Linked DNA regions of Kluyveromyces lactis. The protein of the gene in region 2 purifies or fractionates together with the protein of the main gene of each other region. This does not show direct contact. Links are inferred from orthologs where the notes say so. Each region holds a gene or a part of one and is shown on either strand. Other genes may lie near its edges.

The links. Proteins that work in one complex are often made in the same cells at the same time.
Region 1: the proteins of MNN9 (region 2) and HOC1 purify together in Saccharomyces cerevisiae (affinity purification with western blotting; 6 studies listed by BioGRID, with this or other methods). This does not show direct contact. The link is inferred for Kluyveromyces lactis from reciprocal best matches to the Saccharomyces cerevisiae genes MNN9 and HOC1.

The regions. Positions count from the first base shown.
Region 1 is NC_006038.1:1,253,451-1,261,383, reverse strand, and holds HOC1 (alpha-1,6-mannosyltransferase), read right to left. Parts: upstream 4,392-7,933; coding exon 3,195-4,391; downstream 1-3,194. Other genes in the region: TRP3 (bifunctional anthranilate synthase/indole-3-glycerol-phosphate synthase), read right to left, coding at 1-658; septin CDC11, read left to right, coding at 1,315-2,577; Ran GTPase-binding protein MOG1, read right to left, coding at 4,601-5,194; E1 ubiquitin-activating protein UBA1, read left to right, coding at 5,729-7,933. UniProt on the Saccharomyces cerevisiae protein: The M-Pol II complex possesses alpha-1,6-mannosyltransferase activity and is probably involved in the elongation of the mannan backbone of N-linked glycans on cell wall and periplasmic proteins.
Region 2 is NC_006041.1:1,136,639-1,144,272, forward strand, and holds MNN9 (mannosyltransferase complex subunit MNN9), read right to left. Parts: upstream 2,823-7,634; coding exon 1,644-2,822; downstream 1-1,643. Other genes in the region: alkaline phosphatase PHO8, read left to right, coding at 1-1,319; BRR6 (Brr6p), read left to right, coding at 3,352-3,735; RAI1 (decapping nuclease), read right to left, coding at 3,771-4,925; PTR2 (Ptr2p), read right to left, coding at 5,529-7,493. UniProt on the Saccharomyces cerevisiae protein: The M-Pol I and M-Pol II complexes possess alpha-1,6-mannosyltransferase activity and are probably involved in the elongation of the mannan backbone of N-linked glycans on cell wall and periplasmic proteins.

The DNA.
Region 1 (7,933 bases), on a different chromosome or scaffold from region 2:
ATTTCGCTTTATCAGTGCTGGCTGTCTTTCCGAGCTCATTCCTAGCCAAGTTAGCTGCGTTCTCATCCCAAGTACCTCCTGATACTTCAAGAATATTCTTGATCATTTGATGCCCACTCTCGGTCAAGATAGATTCTGGATGGAATTGCACACCTTCCACAGTGTATTTCTTATGTCTCACACCCATAATAATTCCAGTCTCCGTTCTTGCACTAACTTCAAGCACATCAGGAAGTGTTTCCTTGGCGCCAGCAAGCGAATGGTACCGCGTCACTGCGACACCTTGAGGTACTTTTCTAAAGAAACCTTTTCCATCATGGAATATTGGTGAAGTCTTACCATGAACAATTTCTCCAGCAAAGCTAACTTCACCGCCAAAGACATCAAACATACATTGCTGACCCATGCAGACACCAAACACAGGGACTTTGCCGCAGAAGAATGCGATACAGTCTCTTGATATCCCGGAATCGGTCTCTGGATGACCTGGACCCGGTGAAATCATGACAATATCAGGGTTCAATGCTTCAACTTCTTCCACAGTAATCTTATCATTTCTGAAAACTAAAACTTCAGCACCCTCAGTGCAAAGATATTCATAGATGTTCCAGGTGAACGAATCGTAGTTATCGATCAAAACAACTCTTTTAGCGGACATGATATCAAATTAATGCGAAAACCTAGTTCCTTTTTATCACAGTATAGTGTAGTTGCCCTACTAGATAATTATCAACCAAATATAACCAATCGATAAGAAATTATCGAAAGTTTCTTCTTACAATTATTTCAATGCCCTTTAAGGGTTCCTTTAAATATAAAATCGTCTTGAACATGAGATGATTAACTGGTTCCACATCACAATTCGAGATGAGTCAAGAGAAAGCTTTGATGAAATGAGAAATTGAATCGAATTTCGTCCTAAATGATAAATATGTATGTGATGTACGGATGTGTCAACATTCAAATCCACATTCTTAAGGCAATTGTGCATCGCTGGATTGATTATTCCGTAATCTGACTTCCAAGTAACAATCTATAACCTCTGTTCAATTAGCTGAGCCCCTCTATCATCCATCAAATGCTCTTTCACCGTCGAATACCTACTCTTTCTCTGTTTCCTCCATACTAAATTCCAGATTCCTCAGAGTAACGAATTTAGAATCAGATCGGAAACGTGAAACTTTAAACAAACAACTAACACGTAAACAACACAATTAACAGAAGAGCTGCTCAGAGGTCTTATTAGCACCTAATTTCTGTCGGGGTATTGAATTGGGAAACAAAAGCACTGCTACAATTGTAATTTAGACAGAAATGGCAAGTATTATTCAGGCATCTGCCGCTTTGCGTAAACGGAAGAACTTGAAGAGAGGAATTCAGTTCACGGTGATGGTTGTTGGTCAGTCTGGGTGCGGTAGGTCGACGTTCATTAACACTCTATGTGGACAGAAAGTGGTAGATACTTCTACCACGATTATGTTACCAACGGACACAAATACGCAGATTGATGTGCAATTGAGGGAAGAAATCGTTGAGTTAGAAGACGAAGAAGGTCTTAAGATCCAATTGAATATCATTGATACTCCGGGATTCGGCGACTCTTTGGATAATTCTCCATCGTTTGACATTATCTCTGATTACATTCGTCACCAGTACGATGAAATTTTGTTGGAAGAGAGCCGTGTAAGGAGAAATCCTCGGTTTAAAGATGGTAGGGTGCATTGTTGTTTATATTTGATCAATCCTACTGGACATGGATTGAAAGAGATTGACGTGGAATTCATCAGAAGACTAGGTACTCTAGTGAACGTGATCCCCGTTATCAGTAAAGCAGATTCCTTGACCGCTGAAGAGTTGAAATTGAACAAGAAATTGATCGCAAAGGATATCGACTATTATTCGCTACCTATCTACAACTTCCCATTCGATGAGGAAGACGCGTCAGACGAAGATTATCAAACAAACACATATCTCAGAGGTTTACTGCCCTTCTCTATCATCGGTTCCAACGATGTGTTTGAATCTGCAGACGGGTCCGTGATTCGTGGTAGAAAATATCCATGGGGAACCCTTGACGTCGAGGATGCTAACATCTCTGATTTCGTCGTCCTAAGGAACACTCTACTCATTTCACATTTACACGATATGAAGGAATTTACTCATGAGATCCTATACGAAAGATACAGAACTGAAGCCTTGTCCGGTGAGATGCCAACTGTAGGAACTACGACTCATAACAGAGCTTTCAGCACCACGAACAACGAATACCTAGGATCACCCGCTGTATCTGGTAGAGAATCTGTGAGGGGCAATGGATTACCATCTGCGTTGGGGAACAATGATTCGACTTCTTTACATTCTAACAACGCGTCATCGAACCAGGACACTTACTTGGCAAGAGAAGAACAAATCAAGCTAGAAGAAGAAAGATTAAGGGTTTTCGAAGAAAGAGTGCAACAAGAATTGCAATTGAAGAGACAGGAATTGCTGCAAAGAGAGCAAGAATTAAGAGAAATCGAAGAGAGGCTAGAAAAGGAAGCCCAATTGAAACAGGAAGGAATCAAATTGGAACAATAAGTTGTTGTCCCTTCCTGCACACTAAATAGAACTACATATTTCGTTTCTTTCTTTAACCTATACCTCAGTTATTACCATAAGATAGATAAAGCATTACGAACCATTTCAGGCTACTGGCTGCTAGTCGTGTGCTACACTTTATCGATGCCCTAACGATCAAGCAAAACCTCATTCATTTAAGAAAAAAATTCCCGAACGAAAACCATATAAAAGCCACTTACTTCGAGGCCGAAAATAAGACGAAAAAGACGGTAGAAGGATGGCTTCTGAGCACCAAATGGGTAGTACCAGGGGTACCAGGGATACCAGGTGTACCATGACCTAGTAAATCTCCTTTACATTATCTCACACAGCATGCCAGGAGGCGTGTGCCGTGTTCTGACAAGAAAACATCATGTATGAAGATGTGGGATGGAAAAGCTTTTAGATGATGAGTAACCAGATAGGGACAACAGATATTCGTTTAAGTGACGAGGAAAGTCTTTTAATTGCCCAGTTTTTAGTAGAGCTTGGGCGCACTCTGATTTTAGTTCCACAACTTATACATGATTTAGTGTCAGAAACGGATTAACAAAATTATTTAAAGTTGTGATATGAATATAGTACTATATAAATCGTTATTTGTAGCCGCGGAGTTTTTGCTGGTTCTTCCATGACTTCATTTTGGTATGTGTTGCGAAATGTAGCGCACTGTTAGTCAACTGTTTAGAATCCGTGTCTGAATCAGCTTGTGGCGCATTGAAACTAACTTCTGGGAACACTAGAATGTCTCCGACCAGTTTGGGTACCTTTAAGTTATGGAAATGTTTCCAAGTGATCTTGTCTAAAACACCACTTTGAACGTAATCGTTGAAATAGGTGAATATTACGTCGGTCCAAGCACCAGTTCCGGTCCAGCCCATAATGGTCAGATCGTTTCTTAGGTTCATGTTAAGTTCATCAGCGTATTTTTTTTCCAATGTAGTCTCAGTGACCCTTGCGACCATTTCACGGATCACTGGATGGCCTGGCTTGGCTTGTACGACCCAATTGCCAAATTGCAATCTTCTCAAATAAGAAGATCTCCAATCAGGAGTCTTCGAGTCGTGTTCAATACCAATAATCAACCCGATTTCCTTTGGAGACACGTTCTCTGGGATCCAATTGGGTACTGGTTGCAACAGATCAGTGTCGACATCTGCCCAGACACCACCACGCGCCAGCAAGATGAGGTACTTAAAGAAATCGATCTTTAAGATCGACGTAGGCAAAGAATCATAAGCTTCTATCACTTCAGGAACTGTAGCATAGAAACCATGCACAAACGCCGCAGCAGTATCGTCGTTGACAATCTCGTGAACGAAACCAGGGTTTTTATTAGCCCAGTTCCGTTCGTATTTTTTCAATGTAGGATCCAACCTGTCATCGTCATCGGAATACGGCCAACTTTGCCAAACAAAAGCGGGGAATCTCTGAGTGGTACCGTACTCAAACACAACGGCCAACTTCTCTCTCAAAGTCGCATGTCTGGCAGGTTGCTTCAACGCTTGAATCTTCTTCTCCAAGACTTTCCTCTCTCTATCAAACCTTCTTGCCTGATCGTCCTGTTTCTTTAGCATATCCTGGCTCAATTTCTCAAATTTCTCCATAATTTTACGGTCTGATTGCTCGGAAGAACCCATATTAATCTCCTTAGGTAAATTCTGTAATAGTGTCTGCAAATCTGCAGCAGTCGTACTGTAGTTAAGCATCTTGAAAAGAACCACCACTGCAAACACCAACGGAATTGCAATGGTGGCTATCCTTCTCCAGTTATTTCTCTTGCCCTTGGCCATCTTCACACGGATAGCGCAAGTTATGAACCACTAATCAACACCAGGGCTCCCGCTCGTAGTGATATACCGTTGAGAGTCTAGCTGATGGAGGAATAAGTATGTATTGTTTATCATTGATAATACCATTTCCATAGTTGAAACACTCATTCTTAAAGAAATTCATTACCCGGATATATAATTTACTATACTTTTACTATACCTGGTTTCGATCATGCAAATAACGATGGATCCTCCACTTTGAAGCTCGAGATCATGTCCCGAAGCAACGAATAGGACGCGTGCACCCTTTGAGGTAGCTTTTCCGGTGAGTTTTGCGCAATTGCCTGTTCCATGGCCTTCAGTTCTTGTTCCGATGAGATAGGCACGTGAACAGAAATGATGACGTCGGTATCGAATTGATCCAACCTGAGCAATGCAACACACATTACTACGGTTTCCTTCATCGATTGTTTGCCCCACTTGTATGCGGTCTCAACAACGATACATGTCTGTGATTTGAGTTCCGTTTGCTCTTGATGGTCAATTACTGTCCATTTCTGTGATCCGTTGAGTTCTGAAATTTCTGCCAAATGGATATCTAACGCTTTTCTGTCATTATTCTCTTCCACACGCTGCATTAGGTCTACGATCACACTTTCATCGAACCCGAGCCCATCCTCACTAGGTTCATTCTCACGTCTGCTATTCACGAACACTTCCTGTGTGTCTGGTACTTGCCTTAGCATTGAAGCATCAAGAAACGTCTTGGGAATGACGGTGCTGATGGCACCGCCGTACAATTCTTGTCTGATCCAATGGGACATGGAAAATTAGATATATAGGGTTGTCAGACTGTGGGTAGAGTAAACAATCGCGCTGTCCTTGCCAGTCGAAGTCTCTCCCTCTCTCTTTATCTCTTGAGAAGGACATCTCGTCTTCAAGGTAAGGGAAAATCAAATATCACATTTGACGAACATTCAAATATTATGTGGTGTGCTGGTGTAAATGCATTTATTGTATGCAATGATGGCTTCAAGCATGCCAAATGGGTTTAAATCAAGTGATTACTGTCTCGTATTAATTAATTATTTACGAAACAATTTATATGGGCTCTTGGAACCATACTATCACCTCAAATGCTTCACTTTCTGTCGTATTGTATTCGAACATCTTCCATTCATATCACGTGACTGAAAACTCAACCACTCACGTGACCGAACCCAAAGTGGCAAAAACCGAATTAATAAGGCCAACAACCTATAAACAACTACAAACCAGTTTCCTTAAAACAACAATAGCAACAAGAAGTGAACCGTTCGTTCATTTTGATCACATTGCATCACAAGTTAGTATCAGATATGACGAATATTAAGGTTGATGGCGAAGAAATTGACGAGAGCTTGTACTCTCGTCAATTGTACGTATTAGGTAAAGAAGCGATGTTAAAGATGCAACATTCGAACGTTTTGATCATTGGGTTAAAAGGTTTAGGTGTCGAGATTGCCAAGAACGTTGTCTTGGCCGGTGTTAAGTCTTTAACCCTTTATGATCCAAGCGCTGTCGCTTTACAGGATCTTTCTACGCAGTTTTTCCTGTCAGAACAAGATATTGGGCAAGCTAGAGATAAAGTATCACAGGCAAAATTAGCCGAATTAAACTCATACGTGCCAGTGAAGGTGCTAGAGGGGCTAGAAGACGTGTCACAATTGTCTGAATTCCAAGTAGTTGTTGTGACAGACACGATTTCACTAGAAGAAAAGGTGAAGTTGAATGAGTATACACACTCTCACGGTATCGGTTTCATTTCTACGGAGACCCGTGGGTTATTTGGTAACGTTTTCGTCGATTTAGGTGAAGAATTTACCGTTATTGATACTACTGGTGAAGAGCCAAAGACAGGTATTGTTTCTGATATCGAGTCGGATGGTACAGTGACCATGTTGGACGATAACAGACATGGGTTAGAAGATGGCAATTACGTCAAATTCTCCGAGGTGGAAGGTCTTGAGAAGTTGAATGATGGTACTCCTTACAAGGTCGAGGTGTTGGGTCCGTTCGCATTCAAGATTGGTTCTGTTAAGGATCTTGGTACATACAAGAAAGGTGGTCTGTTCACCGAGGTCAAGATGCCACAGAAATTAACGTTCAAGTCTTTAAGGGAATCTTTGGCAACACCAGAGTTCCTGTACTCGGATTTCGCCAAATTCGAGACTACTGCACAATTACACTTGGGTTTCCAGGCCCTACATCAGTTCCAAGTTAGACATCAAGGTGAATTGCCAAGGCCATTTTATGAAGAAGATTCTAATGAATTAGTTAAACTCGTTATAGATTTAGCTACACAACAACCTGAAGTGCTGGGTTCTGAGGGGAAAGTTGATGAAAAGCTCATCACAGAACTAGCTAACCAAGCAAGAGGTGATATTCCAGGTATCGTTGCTTTCTTCGGTGGTCTGGTTGCTCAAGAAGTGTTAAAGGCCTCCTCCGGTAAGTTCACTCCTATTAAACAGTACATGTATTTCGATTCCATCGAATCTCTACCAGATTCTGAAGATTTCCCAAGAAATGCAGATACCACGAAACCAATCAACTCTCGTTACGATAACCAAATTTCCGTATTCGGTTTGGAATTCCAAAAGAGAATCGCAAATTTGAAGGTATTCCTAGTGGGTTCAGGTGCGATCGGTTGTGAGATGCTCAAGAATTGGGCTTTACTAGGTTTGGCTTCTGGCCCTGAAGGTAAAATTATTGTTACCGACAATGACTCAATTGAAAAGTCGAATTTGAATCGTCAATTCTTGTTCAGACCAAAGGATGTCGGCAGAAATAAATCTGAAGTTGCTGCTGATGCTGTAAGTGCAATGAATCCTGATTTGAAGGGCAAGATCGAGCCAAAGATTGACAAAGTTGGTGCTGAAACAGAGAATATTTTCAACGATGCTTTTTGGAATCAATTAGACTTCGTTACCAACGCATTGGATAATGTGGATGCTCGTACCTATGTCGACCGTCGTTGTGTGTTCTACAAGAAACCTTTACTAGAATCGGGAACATTGGGGACAAAGGGTAATACACAAGTGGTTATCCCTAACCTGACAGAATCTTATTCATCTTCAAGAGACCCTCCTGAAAAGTCAATCCCATTGTGTACATTGCGTTCATTCCCTAATAAGATTGATCACACTATCGCTTGGGCCAAATCCCTATTCCAAGGCTACTTCTCTGACGCAGCTGAAAATGTTAACCTATACTTGACGCAACCAAACTTCGTAGAACAAACTTTGAAACAAGCCCCAGATGCCAAAGGTATCTTAGAATCAATTAGTGATTGTCTAAACAATAGACCTTACAACTTTGAAGATTGTGTCAAATGGGCAAGATTAGAATTTGAAAAGAAGTTTAGTTATGATATCCAACAGTTTCTTTACAACTTCCCTAAGGATGCAACAACATCCACCGGGGAGCCATTCTGGTCTGGTCCAAAGCGTGCCCCTGAACCATTAGTCTTCAATATCGAAAACCCAGATCACTTCCACTTCATCGTTGCATCTGCTAACTTGCGT
Region 2 (7,634 bases):
GAGCTACTGCGTTTTCATGTGGTTTGAAGACTTACAACGGTGCCATCGGTGTGGATCCAAATGGACAACCTTGTGGTACACTCTTGGAAGCCGCAAAGCTTCAAGGGTATTTGACTGGGTTGGTGGTCACTACAAGAATTACTGACGCGACTCCTGCATCGTTCTCTGCTCATGCTGATCGTAGAAGCATGGAACAGTTAATTGCCCAACATCAGTTGGGTGAATATGAATTGGGTAGAATGGTGGATTTGATGATCGGTGGTGGTAGAACTAGCTTTTACCCCAAGGGTGCTGCAGCTTCACCATATGGGATCAGAGGTTCTCGTACAGATGGTCGTGACTTGATCAAAGAAGCTGTAGCAGACGGTTGGCACTATGTTGGAGATCGCGAATCCTTTAATACCTTATCCGAGGGTGATAATGTGAAACTTCCTTTGCTTGCTTTGTTAGCTGACTACGATATACCCTTTGAGATTGATAGATTAGATTCGGAATATCCATCCTTGAAAGAAGAAGCTATGACTGCAATCAACGCATTGTCCAAAGCAACTAGGGATTCAGACCAGGGATTTTTCTTGTTAGTTGAAGGTTCTCGTATTGACCATGCAGGTCATTTGAACGATCCTGCTGCACAGGTTCGTGAGGTCACTGCATATGATGAGACGTTCAAGGCTGTTGTTGAATACGCTAAAAATTCAGACGTAGAAACCGTCATAATTTCAACTTCAGATCATGAAACAGGTGGTTTGGTCACGGCCAGACAAGTTTCTAAAGCATATCCGGATTATTTATGGTTACCTGAAGTCTTGGCAAAAGCACAACATTCGTGTGAGTACTTAGCAAGAAAGTTGATTCAAAAAAAGCTTCAAACTTCTGAGACCTCAAAGGGCAATCTAGTTAAGTTCATCAAACATGAAATTGTGGAAGCTGGTTTAGGTATCAACGATTATACTGACGAAGATATCAAAGAGCTTGAGAGCTTGATCGATACCCCTGGCTTTTTGATGGACAAATTGACCGATATGGTCTCTTTCAGGGCGCAGTTGGGCTGGACAACACATGGTCATAGCGCAGTCGATGTTAATATATATGCATACTCCAACAAGGACGGGTTGAAGTCTAAGATTTTGGATAAACTTGGTGGTAACCATGAGAATATTGAAATTGGTCATTTCATGAGAAATTATTTGGGCCTTGATTTGAAGAAAGTCACAGAGATGATCAAAAACACCACTCATACTCAGGAATTTGTATCTTCCGCTTCAGAGGAAAACTACTTTGAATACATTCCTTCATTCTTGAAAGAAATAGAAATCTAACTCCCTGTTAACATTTATAAAGGTTGGAAAAGACAAAACAATTGCATTCCGTTTCATTGCATAATCGTATGCGATCTGTCCCCATAGATATTGCACTATATCTCCTGCTCTTTGTTTCAAAACTAAACGTGGTAATTGAAGGTGTTATTTCGCTTATAATAATAGTACGCAGAAATATTAATAGTATTTTACATAATAGGTCTAAGTACATAAAGAGTAAAACCAATTAAAGATCAAGACGGTACCTTTTCCCGTTTAATTTAATTGAGGATTCGTTCTACGCAGTACGTTTGATGCTATGTTCTCCCTGAAAACTCATAGCGCTTATTCTTCAATATGGTATACCAAGTAGTTAGGTAGACCGAACACAGAATATCCCAATCTTTTTGCCATCTTAGCAAATGCTTCTGTCTCTATCAAGTGGTAGAATGGGAAGTTAGTGAACATGGCACCATCTCTGTGGACTTCAGCTTTCACTAAAGTACATCCACCTCCGACACCGTCAAGTTCCATTAATGAGTTGGTGGCACCGTTTGCGTCGTAGAAATGGGCCATCAATGGTCTATAAGTCGCAATTTCAGAGTACCCCTCCACGATAATCTCGTTATCTCCAAGTTGTTGGGCCAATTTCAAACCGATTTCGGATTCAGCCCAATTATTGAAATCGTAAGGTCTAATACTTTCCTTCTTTTGATCTTTGTCATAGAATTTTTGATACACATTAGCGGCAAGAACCGGTTTGTTATGGCTCGTTAGGTCTTGAATGACGGTGACTGGAGTTTCAACGATATCTGCATCCAACCATAGAATCCATGAAGTGTGCGGTCCAATGGTAGAGAACAGCAATTCGTTCCTAGCCAATGCCATAGCAGCACGTCTTTCCTTTTGTACTTCTAGTGCGTGTCTATCCTTTTCTCCTAGTCTGTCGAAAGACTGAGACGCTTGTCTCAAGATGGTTATCTTGGCAAATCTTTTATCCTGTTTACCTGTTTGAACCTCTCTTACTGCAGATTCTAATTTCTGTAAAGCAGCATCTCCAGACGCAGTTCTTGGAATAATAAATCCAAGCTCAATCAATGCTCTTGGGTAAGTCAAACTCAACAAATTATTCCAGTACTGTTGATGGAAAGTCTGCATTGGAGTCAAAATCAATACTCTTTCCTTGTTTACTAAGGCATTGCTGGTAGATTTCAACTTGTTCAAATCGTAATGGGCAATGTGACCTTCAGGAATCAAATCGTCAACTTTATCATTGAACAACCAACTGGAAACTTTCTTGTATGAATATTTTGGCATCTTGTACTTCTTTGTATATGGGAAATAAAATGTCTTCTCGGACTGATCTGCCCATTGATGGTTCATAATATCATCGCTCAATCCTAGTACGTTATTCCCACTGGAAAAAACTAATTGAAACACGCAAAATAGCACAAATATAGGTACCACGATGAAAAGAATCGGCGATTTCCTCACACGGTATGCGATCAAAGACATGGAAGCCATCTTTATGTTTATGTTTATGTTTATAAATTAATCAACCAAAACTATGATCTATAGCACTCAATTATCGGCTCAATTTCCTCCTTGATTAATTCTCCCAAAGATTAGACAGCGAAAGTGTCTATATTCAACAGAGCAAGACGCCAATCCGACCGTGTTTATCCTTCTTGAACTTCTAGTAAACTCGCCAAATTGATATTGAAATTACGGCTTTTCTTGTTTTAAGCTATTCGGAAGTTGAGAATTTTCGGCAGAGGGTAACTATACTATTCTATCTTGTTTCTCATATGTTTCTGTGTCCCATTTTGTTTCTTTCAGTGTGAATTTGGTCTTAAGGATTCGATTTCGCCGATTTGAAAGCACAAGTCACGTGGTTTTTTTTTTCTTAAGTAATTGCCGAAGAGCAACCTTTCGAATCACTGATTAATATCTTGGGACGCACATTGCTTGGCCGGGTGTATTGAATAGAGCACCAAATGAACCAAGACCTGTGCTAAGACCTTGGGTTAAGAGCTTGTCATAGCCTCTTCTCATGCACTCAGTGAATAAATTGGTATTCCAGGGTTTACTTGTGGTAATAGTGGGATATTTCTGTTGGACTGTGCATAAAGATGTGCAATGGCAGTTATTGGAACAGCAATGGGTGGATATGAAGAAAATCTCTCAGTGCAAACGATCTTATGTTGAGAATAGATGTAGTGAGGGAATACGGCCGGCTTTAGCTGGGAAATGTGATGAATGGTGGCATTGTGCGCAGCTGGACTCGCACCCCAGCGTTCATCAGATGGCCAATTTATATGCCAAGACACTTGCACACACGTTAAATTCGTTTATACAGGCACTTGCCTTCAAGACAATAATAGTACTGATGCTATTTGTATTGCTTATATCAATTTCTAGTAAACTACTTCAGTAGTTTCTCTGTGTACATATATATCACGTATAAAGAAGTTACTTGCGAAGATCTTTTCTCCATTGTTTGAACGAATTTGATAGTATCTCTTCTCCTTCCACCAGCTGCTTGTATTCTTCGTCGTCAGACTCAATTTCCGTGAGTTTTAGGTGATTGTTCTCAAAGATGAGTTTATAGGCTTTAATTGTGTCAATATCGTCTTCTGGTCTTGGAATACTTGTCAATAACCACTCTGTGAAGGCACCATACCATTTTATGGCATCTACACACACAGTTTGCATCTGTGGGTTGTTGTTCTTCAATATTAGCGGTACCTCAGATGTAGTGAACTCCTCTACAGTTTTGAGCATGAAATTGTCATCTCTAAACCCATATATAATTCTGTTTATTCCTACTAGGAAACACTGTAACCAGGTTTTAAACAACTTACGTTCGAATTTATGCGCATCGGAAACGGTATTGACCATTGTGGTACATTTCAACTCTGCGTAATGCTTCAGGTTGTCATCTGAATCCTCTTTAAAATCAAAAATACAGTCCACTTCTGCACCGATCAATATCTTACATTTACCTATTCCTGTTCTAACCATTGAGATGAATTGGTCCCCATTGTTAATAATCTTTTTAGGTCTCTTTTCCAATGTAGTTCTGGGTACCAACGGTAGTGGCAGCGATAAGGTTGCAAGTGCTTCAAATTTGTAACCACTGTAATATGCCCTTGCCTGTAACGACTCCCTATTCTTGTTAATGGAGGTTTCCGAAGCGTCTGTCTTGACTTCCTTAATGAATAGTTGTCCATCAAACGAAACAATACGGAAATTTACCGGATTGAACTGTGATGAATCAAAAGCACTGGAGATGAGCTTCCGTATGATACCTCTGAACGTAATGATATCCACCTTCGTCTTCTTACTCTTACGTCTCTCATACTCTTCCAAAGTCGAAAGTAATCCATGCAATGTTGTAGAGTCGAATTCTTCCGTATTACACTCTTTGAACTTCTTGATTCCACTTAAAAGATCAAGCTTCTTGTCTAGATCCGTATCTGGCAAGTAATAGTATGCTAGCCTCGAATCATCGTTGACTAAAAATCCATTGTCCTGTGTTCTCGAATAATGACCTAATTCTTTTGGTTGCTTCAAAGCAGTAGTTGTACTTCTTTTTTGAACGAAAAGACTGGAAGATAGTACCATTATGCAAGAAGTCTATTCAAAGCTACCAGGTTTTCACGTTCTGAACTAGTCACCACTATAGAACACCTCCTCGTCAAATGTTTTCTTACATGTGTCTTGGTGATGAGATTCTTTTAAAGCTTTAAATGCATGAAAAATTTCCAATTGTAAAGGCCTTATTGTATGCTGTCTGCAAGATAAAAAGACAAAGAGAGAGTACGTTAAAATACAAAACAAATTATTTCCCTAGGAGGTATCACTGCAGGAAACTATCCTGGATAGAGATATTATAGAGCTTTTAACAATTCAATTGCTATTCATTACGTGTTTGATTACATGAAGGTTCTCTATTTATCGTTGATAATAGACTAGATACAGTGCAATGACCGGTTGATAATGATAATACAATAGTAATAATAATAATATAATATAACCAGGGACAAAAAGAAAATAATAAGATCTCGAAATAGTTCGTGATATGATTGATAATGGATCAAACATGGATTTATTCTTTATGTCAAGACATTAGTTTTTTATGCATTTGTCAGACTGTACTTCTGCCTTGCCAGCGATGAGAGTGTTCTCTCTTATTAACAAAGGCCAAAGAGGAGTTATAAAAGAACATTAAGCTGAGCGAGATAATTGATGCTCTAGATTTTGCTGTTTCTGTTGCTGTTGAACTCTACTGCGAACTGAGGAGACACTGTATAAAGCAGCACCTTCTCCGGTGACACCAACACCTGACAACATTTGTTCTTGTTCTTCTGTCTTGTAATCCAATGCATTCAAGGCTTCTTCATCCTTGTTGTAGTGGTGGAAACATAGCCAGAACAAACAACCAGCAATGAAACAAGCAACAGCCAAACCAGAGAATGTCCAGACGTACTTTGGATTTTCGGCTGTTGGGGACAAGGCGATACCGAGAGCAGAACCGACAGCGTTCGTGACCAAAAAGATGGACATGATGAAGGCTTTCATTGTGGCTGGGGCTTTAGAGTAAGCGTATTCCAAACCAGTAATGGACGCGAAAATTTCAGAAAGAGAAATTAAGACATAAGCAGGAACTTGCCAGCCGATATGGACTCTGTTTGGAGTGTTTGCGTATTCTGGTGCACAGGACATTGGGAAGTCGTAACATGGACCTGCTTTGTAAATAAAGTGTTGCAAGACAGCAGCGTAAACCATGGCACTAGAACCGAAACAGAAACCAATGAAGATCTTGGTAACTGGTCTGAAAGGAGTGAAACGTCTGATAAATGGGTAAATGAATTGTTCCATGATTGGGATGAATACAATTAAAGCAATAGAGTTGATAGCTTGTAAGAAATCATTTGGCAAACCGTGCAATTCCATAGTACCAGCTTGGGTAACGAAATTGTTAAGCATTTGACCGTAAACAACCCAGTAAATTGGGTAAAATGCGAAAACTTTACAAGCCTTGAAAGCTCTTCTAATTTCATCGATGAATAAATCATTCCATGGGTACTCCTTTTCTGGGTTCAAAGATGGAACGGCTCTATTCAAATTGAAACCGTTGCATAAACCAATCCAGCAGATTTTGAAACATCTTGCAATGACATGGTCACCAATGGGCCTCCTCACGTACTTCTTTCTACCAAACACAAGCACCACGATACCGACCCAGAAGAAACAGAAAGTTAACAAATAAGCAGCCCAGAAACCGTAACTAGCTTCTAAATGGGTGGTTGCCATGACAGATAAAGAACCAATATTAATCATCAAGTAGAAGAACATAAACACATTTTGCATTGTAACATTGGGATCTTCGATGACTTTTTCACCGTTCTTCAAAACCTTAATTCTAGGCCTTGTCTTTGGGATTTGATCTGCGATCAAGACGGACAAATTAGCTTTGATAAAACCAGTACCAATACCGATTATAATCAAAGAAACGATAAATCCACCCAACGAGGAGTTTTTATCGTTGATACTTGGGATTGCAGTCATAAACAAGATCAGGATACCAACAACATAGAAACTGGCACCAACACAGATAGTATTATATTTACCCCAGAAAGTATCAGCCAAATAACCACCTAACAATGGAGTAACGTAACACCAAAACTGGAAGAAATACGACAAAGCAGTGGCACCTTGTGATTTCAACTGCAAGACACCCTTTGGTGTGTCGTTAGGACCGTTTTGCATATAGTTTTGGAATGGTGCAGAAAGACCATAGTATGAGAATCTTTCAGCCAATTCAACGATGGCAATCAACCAACAAGTGAATGGAATCCTTTCCGACACATGTCTCAAAGTACTCAACTCTTCTTCGGTAGGTTCTCTTCCATTTTCGTTTTGGTTGTCATCTTCGTCTACAGCACCAATAAAATCGATTTTATCAGAACTAGCATGATGGTCCTTTGAAATATATACCTTGATGTCTGTGTTGTTTTTGAATTTTTCATCTTTCTTCTCACCAGTAAATTCATCATCACTACTAACTGTGCTGTCAACGTTCAATGCCTGACTGTTGTTGTTGTTGTTGTTGTTGTTGTTGTTGTTGTTGTTGATGATATCATCACTAATTTTGTCGTCTGTCAAGAAATCCTTTTCTGCGGCGGACATATTTGCTTGAACAAAAGGTACGGTGTGTGTGTCTTATAAGTTGAGAGATGGACCTTTATTGGTTGGACAAAAAGAAAGGCTGTAACCGAGAAGACAGATTTTTGACACAAATCTGTAGGCATACTCGGAAGGAGAATATGT